Rattus norvegicus: one gene and its partner. The protein of the gene in region 1 interacts with the protein of each later gene in a pairwise test. Links are inferred from orthologs where the notes say so. Each region holds a gene or a part of one and is shown in the gene's direction. Other genes may lie near its edges.

Region 1 (3,643 bases):
CCCTCAGGCCTGCGGCAGTAGCCTGCTTACTCTGTGCTCTCCTGGTATTCCCAGAGGCCCAGCCGCACTCCCTAGGCACTACCTTCTTTTCTTTTCTTTCTTTCTTTCTTTCTTTCTTTTTTTTTTTTTAAAGATTTGTTTATTTATTCACTATAGCTGTCTTCATGCACACCAGAAGAGGGCATCAGATCCCGTTACAGATGGTTGTAAGCCACCACGTGGTTGCTGGGAATTGAACTCAGGACCTCTGGAAGGGCAGTCAGTGCTTTTAGCCGCTGAGCCATCTCTCCAGCCCACTACCTTCTTTTCTTAGCTCTTCCTGCTTGATAGACTCATACCCAGGTCTGGCACCAGCCTACCAGTCGCCCCAACCCTCTTCCCCATCCTAACCTATAGGAGAGATTTATTTCTATGCGCCCCACCCCCACCCCACCTTATGATTAAGGAAAACGAGTTCATTTAGTGGCTACTTGGAGTTTTGGGGTGGGGTCTTGCTTTGTGGTCCAGGCTAGATTAGAACTCGGGCCCCTGAGTGCTGGTATTGTGTAGTCATGGGCCCTCGCACAGGCTACAGTGAGTATTCAGTGTGCACTGTATAAACAACACAATTCTTGTGTGCTTCCGCCCCAGACTCTAGACCCTGTTCCTTACTAAGTTCAGGATCTCCTCGTGGTAACACAAGGAGATTGCCCTTCCTTCCTGTGTCCTCAGACAGTGGGTAGAGGGTCCTGTAGGGTCCCTGGAGCCAGAGCTGAGGACATAGAGCTTCCCGTGTGTTCATTCACCAGAAGCAGGGCCCACAGCTTCTGGGCAAGATTAGAAGCTTGCATCGTTAAGAACTTTGTTTCCCTTCTTTTTGACGCAGTAATGACAGGCTCAATGTAGGGCACAGCAGGAGCACACCAGACAAAGGAGGCTTGCCACTTAAGTGTCTTTGAACCAGAAACTACCAGGAATGCCCTGCGAGCCAATATTGTGGGTTCTAAAGCCTGCCACGGGGCAAACACTAGTCGTGGAACAGTGGCCCTCCGGGAGGGGACCGAGCTCCTTTTGGCGGAAGGGTGGTGCTTGTTTGATTGCTTCTGGCATAGACTGCACCTGCTTTGTCAGTGGTCACGTGAGACTGAGGAAGGGTCTTTATTCATGCGGCCAGGGTGCCTGCCTTGCCTGGTGTTGACCCAAGAGATTATGTTCAGCCAGTGCCAGGACTCTGATGAATGCCAGTCCAGCCTGGACGCTTCTAATTATACACGTGTGTTTTTATAGAGCAAGCCATGTCACATGCTGTGACTATTGTGGGAATGGCTGAGTCCAGGGACCAATCGCATCCATTCCAAGTTTCTGCCCTTTGGCTGCGGCATTCTAGGTCTGGAGATAAATCTGGAGCTTCCACCTCACCTCCGTTGAAAGACTAAAACTGGGAGGGACCGTGGAAGAAGAGAAAGGTTAGAACGTTAAGGTGTAGGGCAGAGATATGTTCAAGAAAAGGTCCAAGAACCAGGCAGGCAGGAGATTGCTTTGCAACCCAGGCCAGCCTGGGTTGCACAGCAGTAACCAATCAAAAGTGAGAGACAGAAGGGATGGGGAGACAGTTCTGTCAGTGAGGGAGGCCCTGGCTCTGCAGGCATGAGTGCCTGAGTTTGGGTCCCTAGCACCCGTGTACAACACTGGGTATAGCCACATGTCCATAATCCCAGTGTGAGGAAGGCAGAGACAGGCAGGCCCCTGGAGCTCCCTGACTAGGCAGCCCAGCCCAGTAGCTGTGCTCCAGATTCAGGAAGAGACCCAGCTCAAACGAAATGGAAGCGCCAGGCTCATAGCATAGGCCTTTAATCTTAGAACTTCAGGGGCAGAGGCAAGTAGATCTCCTGAGTTCAAGGCTAACCTGGTCTACACCCGTGCTGTGAAGGGGGAGGCTGGCCTGAGAGACAGTGGAAGGCGGAGGGCAGCTATCCCTGCCAACCTACTTACGTACGCCTTGTACATCTCATTACCAAGAGTCCCCCTCCTCCTTCCCTCCCTTCCTCCCTCCAGCTGTCCATGGGGGCTAAAAGTGCATGTGTGCATGTGAGGGTGGGTGCCTGCAGATGCCAAAAGAGGACATTAGCTGTCCTTGCATCTGGAGTTACAGATGGTTTGTAAGCTATCTGTTGTGGGTGCTGGGAATTGAATTCTAGTTATCTATAAGAACAAGCCATGCTTGTAACCCCTGAACCATCTCTCCAGCCCTGGTTTATTTTAACTTCCTAATCCTTCTACCTTTAAAGTAGTGGTATTGTGTTGGACACCTTGTCTGGCTCATTTGATGTGGGGGTAGGGGATGGGGGTGGAGCCAAGGGCTTCATGCACACTGTTTAAGCTGTTCAACCCCAGGGGGGTCTCGACCCACTAGTTGAGAACTGCTGTTCCAGCCTCTCTGGTATGTAGAGGCCTCTGTGGGCCAGCCCTGGGTAGCAGTGGGCATGCAGGTGGGATGTTTCACAGGAGTGGCAGTGCGGTCTGATCTCCGGCTCTGGGCTTACCTGTGTGCTCGGATCCCTCACCGTCTTCATGAGGCCCTTGCTCAGGACGGCTCACTTCATCCTCTCTGAACTTTCCTAGTTCCCTGACATTGTGGATTTCTGTGAAACGATGGCCAATACAGGCAAGACAGTGATTGTGGCGGCGCTGGACGGAACCTTCCAGAGGAAGGTAAAGATGTCTGACCCATGGCAGCGGTCTTGAGAGGGGAGACAGCATGCAAGGTCTCCCCATGCAGCTCTCTAGTGAAGCAGGACCAGTAAAGTATGATGTTGCTGAATCATGGGGTTTAAAAGAGAAGCGTTGGGCTGGGGGCAGCCCAGGCTGTAACACACTTGCCTTGCACACAGGCTTGCGTCAGTTCCGCAGAACTCCCTCCACACGCATACACGTGAACACAGGCAGGGAGGGAAGTGCCTGGCTAACACTTTTGCTGTCCTGTGTAGGCTTTCGGCAGCATCTTGAACCTGGTGCCCTTGGCCGAGAGTGTGGTGAAGCTCACCGCTGTGTGCATGGAGTGCTTTCGAGAAGCTTCCTACACCAAGAGGCTGGGCCTGGAGAAAGAGGTATCTCCTTGTGCTTCTGCCCACGGAGTGGGGTGGGCTTAGGCTTCTGAGTCCTCCCTCATACGCCTCTCCTACCAGGTGGAGGTGATTGGCGGAGCGGACAAGTACCACTCTGTTTGCCGCCTGTGCTACTTTAAGAAGTCTTCAGCCCAGACTGCAGACAACAAAGAGAACTACTCAGTGCTGGGGCAGCCTATAGAGATCCCGGCTGTCAGGAAGCTCTTTGCCCCTCAGCAAATCCTACAGTGTAACTCTGCCAACTGAGGGGACCCGGGGCCTGCCAGCTCCTTCCCCAGGTTGGACTCCCAGAGAGCAGGGAAAGGGGCGGGGCCTGCCATTCCTACTGGACATTGCACCTTGGCTTATCTGCTTGTTGAAACCTTTCTTAGTTCCCTTCTTATAATGGTTGTGAGCCCCCAACCCAACGCTTCTCTCTTAAACCCCGTGATTCAGGCAACATCATACTTTACTGGTCTTGCTTCACTAGAGAGCTGCATGGGGAGACCTTGCTGGAAATTGAACTTGGGACCTCTGGAAGAGTGGTCAGTCCTCTTAAC
Region 2 (4,093 bases), on another chromosome or scaffold:
GCTCCCAAGAGGAAAAGGTGGAGGAAGCTCCTGTTTACCTCTCCACTGTGCCAGACCAACCAAGAGTAACTCCTGGTGGTCCAGTCCTAGTGCCAAGCCTTTGAGACTCACCCAGGGTTTCTGCTAATAGAAACATTGCAAGTTCTTTGGCTTCCTCCCTTTGTAGCTGATCAGATTTTAAACCTTGCTTTTTCAAGGGGAGGAATCAGGGTAGTGATGATGCCTACTGTAGGACAGTACTAGCCAACAGGATGTATGTGAACCCCGAATGTGGGCTGCAACAGTGTTTTTATGTTTTCCTGGTAATCACATTTTTAAAAGTGAAAAAAGTGAGTCATTAAAAATATATTTTAAACACTGTCCAAAACATGATCCCTGTGACCTTTTGTCAGTGGGGTTCTTTGGCTAACTTACCCAGCCCATGAAAACCATGGTTTCTCTCTCACATCTCCTCTTTCCTCCCTGGCTCTCTCGCTCCAACACGTGCCTGTGCCGAGAGCAGAAATTTCAACTTTTAAGGGGCTTTTAGGATCCAAGAGTCCAGAGCAAAGGACACTCTTCCTCCCCATACCCTGCAATCTACCTGTAGAGCGCATCCTTGTCCTCGAAACAGTCCAGACCCTTTCTCAACCCTCCCCTCCTCCTCCCAAGCCGCACCGCGCCTGGCTTTCAACTCGCCCTCGATTATCACCCAGACTTCAAAGAGAACCGGGCTGCAGTTCAAGCCCCTGCCCAGGATGCTGGCATTCCTTTTCAGAAAGGACATCTAATAGAGATACGTTTTCAGTTTTGGGCTCCATATCCAAGAGCGAGGCCACACCTGTCCTGCTATCTGGGGAGGCAGGAGCCCAATCTCGAGTCCCCGGCGTGGTGGGAAGTGAGCAGGGTGGGAGCGGAACCAGAGTGTAACCTAAAGGTATCCACAGTAGACAAACAGCTCAGGTGGACGTTGAGGGGAAGCCAGCAGGACGGGCCGAGGGGCGTAGTAACCCTGGGACGCTGCATACAGCCGGGTGCCCTGCACCTCGCACCGCGCCCCGGCTCCCTCTCGCGGTGCCGCAGTCCCCGCAGCGCCGCCCCTCGGCTCTGCCCCCGTGACGTCAGCGGGGCTGGGCGGTCCCCGGGTATAAAAGGTGGAGCTGGGGGAAGGCGACTGGTCTTTTGCTCTCCTTAGCCCTCGGTCCACGCACTGCTCCTAGGGCAAGAGCCTTCACCTCTTCTACAGCCAACACCATGCGCGAGATCGTGCACATCCAGGCGGGCCAATGCGGCAACCAGATCGGCGCTAAGGTGGGAGCACCCCTAGGGAGGAAATGGATGAGGTCGCCCCCTCGGGTCGGGGTCCCAAGGTTGTGTGGGGGTGGGGTGGGGAGTGAGGGGTGGAGGGTGAGGGGTAGAGGGTGAGGGGTAGGGAGTGGGGGGTGGAGGCAAGCCGGACCTAGGGGTTCCAGAGGAGCCTGTGCTGGTGCTGGTGTCGCATTCCTTCGCTGGCTACTGGGCGGACCGGGTCCTAAAAGCGGGTCCTGAAAGCCGACTAATCTGCCACGATGGGTGCGACAGGGTGTCTTAAATTAAGGTCCATTACATTGCTTTGGGACACAGCCCTTCTGCAGGGTGCAAATGACATTACTCTGGGTGTTTTCGTCTCTGAAATTTGGGTTGGGGTGTCACTCCATGTATTGAAAAATCTCATGTCAAATGTAATTTGTATACGTATATTTTGTCTATCATTTGAATCAAAAAAATGCAGTGTCATTGGGTTGACAGATGTTACAGAGGCTTGTCTTTGGGCCAACAGACGAGGGTGTTAGACAAATTCTCTTACTAGGGCTCGCCTAGATGTAACTTAAAACGCAATGGTCGTCTTTCTCCTCTGTGAGACTCGGAATGGGGGCTGAGAGACCTGATGGCAGCGGGGAGACAGCAATGAGCATTAAACATGGGTGTGGGCAGGTTCCTGTACAAGGACGTGGTCTCTTTCAACACCGCCATATTGCCCACCCAACCTCCCCACTCCCTTTTCCTGCTGCCAAGTCACAATGCAGGCTGCATCCTGAGGGAGGCCAGCTTTTTCCGGGGCTGCCAGATGCCCTCTCAGGATTTTACTGCCCATCCCCGAACATTTCCTAGTCAGGGTCAATACCCGAAGCCAATATGTAGGTCAGTGGTATAAAACCGGGCTGTTGAAAGCTGTCATGGAGTCTGTGCCAGCAGCCATTGATCCCTGGAGGCACAGGGGGTGGGGCACCTGATCTTCCCTTCTGCCATTCCCATCCATCAGGCTGTATGTGTAACATTCAGCCTTGCCTGGAGTGATAGAAAGCAGCTGCCTCTGCAGTTCTGGGAGATCTGCTGTGCCCACTTCCTTCTCCAGGCTCCCCCTGCACCCTGCATCTGTGGTCATAATATGGCGATGCACTGCGCATTCCCAAGACCTCTGCAGCAGCTGCTGCTGCCCAAATACATGGAGGCCAGCAGCACACTAGGCTCTTGCCTGCTGTCTGACCAAGACCTTTCTGGGTGACAGTCTAAGTGTGATGCGATTGCCTTCGTTTCAGTTTTGGGAGGTGATAAGCGATGAGCATGGCATCGACCCCACTGGCAGTTACCATGGCGACAGTGACTTGCAGCTGGAGAGAATCAATGTGTACTACAATGAAGCTGCTGGTAAGGGTTTGGATGTCAGTCTTGCTTTCCACACTGTGGCAGAGGAAGCAGCATGCAGACAAGGAAATGCTTTTTTGCACACTCATTTAAAAAAAAAACCACGTTGCTGTTCCTGAGGACCTCTGTATGCTTTGTGTCTCCATTTTCTTTTTCCTCCTTTGTCTCAATGCTGGGATTTCTGCAATGACTTCTTCTGCTCCATCCATCTCCTTTCCCAAGCCCAGTTGTAAGTCAGCTCTTGTCCCCACAGGCAACAAATATGTACCTCGGGCCATCCTAGTGGACCTGGAGCCAGGCACCATGGACTCAGTGAGGTCGGGACCATTCGGCCAGATCTTCAGGCCAGACAACTTTGTGTTCGGTATGTCGTCATGCTCTAGGAGAGCTGCCCAGCTGACTCATTCCCTTCCTAGCAGCCGTGGGCTTTACAGTTCTGTGTGCAGCATCCAGCTGAGCCTGTGTCCCAGGGACCGCAAGTCCTGGCCTAACCTATGCAGCTGACAAGATCATGTCTGTGGTCACTCTTGACAGCTCAGAGGGGTGTGTGGGTCTGTGGAGGCTGTGAAAGGCCCTAGGAGGAGCAGCCTCTGGGGGTGGGGCATTGGAAACGATAAAAGCCTTCCAAGGGCATCATAGGCTGTAGGAGATTTCAAAGGATCACTGATGCCAGGTAACCACTTCAGTGACCAAGATGTAGCCCAAATGTTTAGAGCTGTCTTCCCCGCCTCTTTAATTATAGCTAATTAAGGGTATTTACAGAATGCGCTCTGTGCATAACTTTAGAAGTTACTGAAAATTGTTAAGATGTGTCCTCTTGGGGTTGGGGATTTAGCTCAGTGGTAGAGCGCTTGCCTAGGAAGCGCAAGGCCCTGGGTTCAGTCCCCAGCTCCGAAAAAAAAAAGAAAAGAAAAAAAAAGTTATTTAGGATTGGGGATTTAGCTTAGTGGTAGAGGGCTTGCCTAGCGAGCACAAGGCCCTGGGTTCGGTCCCCAGCTCCGAAAGAAAAAAAAAAAAAAAAAGATGTGTCCTCTTCCTCCCCATGTTTTCCACTTTCTTTTATAGTCCAAGGACACCACCCTGGATTCCTAAGTGACTAATATTCTCTTTTTCAGGTCAGAGTGGTGCAGGAAATAACTGGGCAAAGGGCCACTACACAGAGGGTGCCGAGCTGGTGGACTCTGTCCTGGATGTGGTGAGGAAGGAGTCAGAAAGCTGTGACTGTCTCCAGGGCTTCCAGCTGACCCACTCACTGGGGGGAGGCACTGGCTCAGGCATGGGGACCCTGCTCATCAGCAAGATCAGAGAAGAGTACCCAGACCGCATCATGAACACCTTCAGCGTCATGCCCTCACCCAAGGTCTCTGACACTGTGGTGGAGCCCTATAATGCCACCCTCTCCGTGCACCAGCTGGTAGAGAACACAGAT

Evidence for each region.
Region 2: the proteins of Tk1 (region 1) and Tubb2a interact in a two-hybrid assay, tested with the Homo sapiens proteins (2 studies listed by BioGRID and IntAct). The link is inferred for Rattus norvegicus from reciprocal best matches to the Homo sapiens genes TK1 and TUBB2A.

Annotation. Positions count from the first base shown.
Region 1 is NC_086028.1:103,534,658-103,538,300, reverse strand, and holds part of Tk1 (thymidine kinase, cytosolic), read left to right. Parts: intron 1-2,601; coding exon 2,602-2,691; intron 2,692-2,966; coding exon 2,967-3,086; intron 3,087-3,164; coding exon 3,165-3,350; 3' UTR 3,351-3,643. UniProt on the Homo sapiens protein: Cell-cycle-regulated enzyme of importance in nucleotide metabolism. Catalyzes the first enzymatic step in the salvage pathway converting thymidine into thymidine monophosphate.
Region 2 is NC_086035.1:31,001,030-31,005,122, forward strand, and holds the start of Tubb2a (tubulin beta-2A chain), read left to right. Parts: upstream 1-1,156; 5' UTR 1,157-1,233; coding exon 1,234-1,290; intron 1,291-2,558; coding exon 2,559-2,667; intron 2,668-2,917; coding exon 2,918-3,028; intron 3,029-3,779; coding exon 3,780-4,093. UniProt on the Homo sapiens protein: Tubulin is the major constituent of microtubules, a cylinder consisting of laterally associated linear protofilaments composed of alpha- and beta-tubulin heterodimers.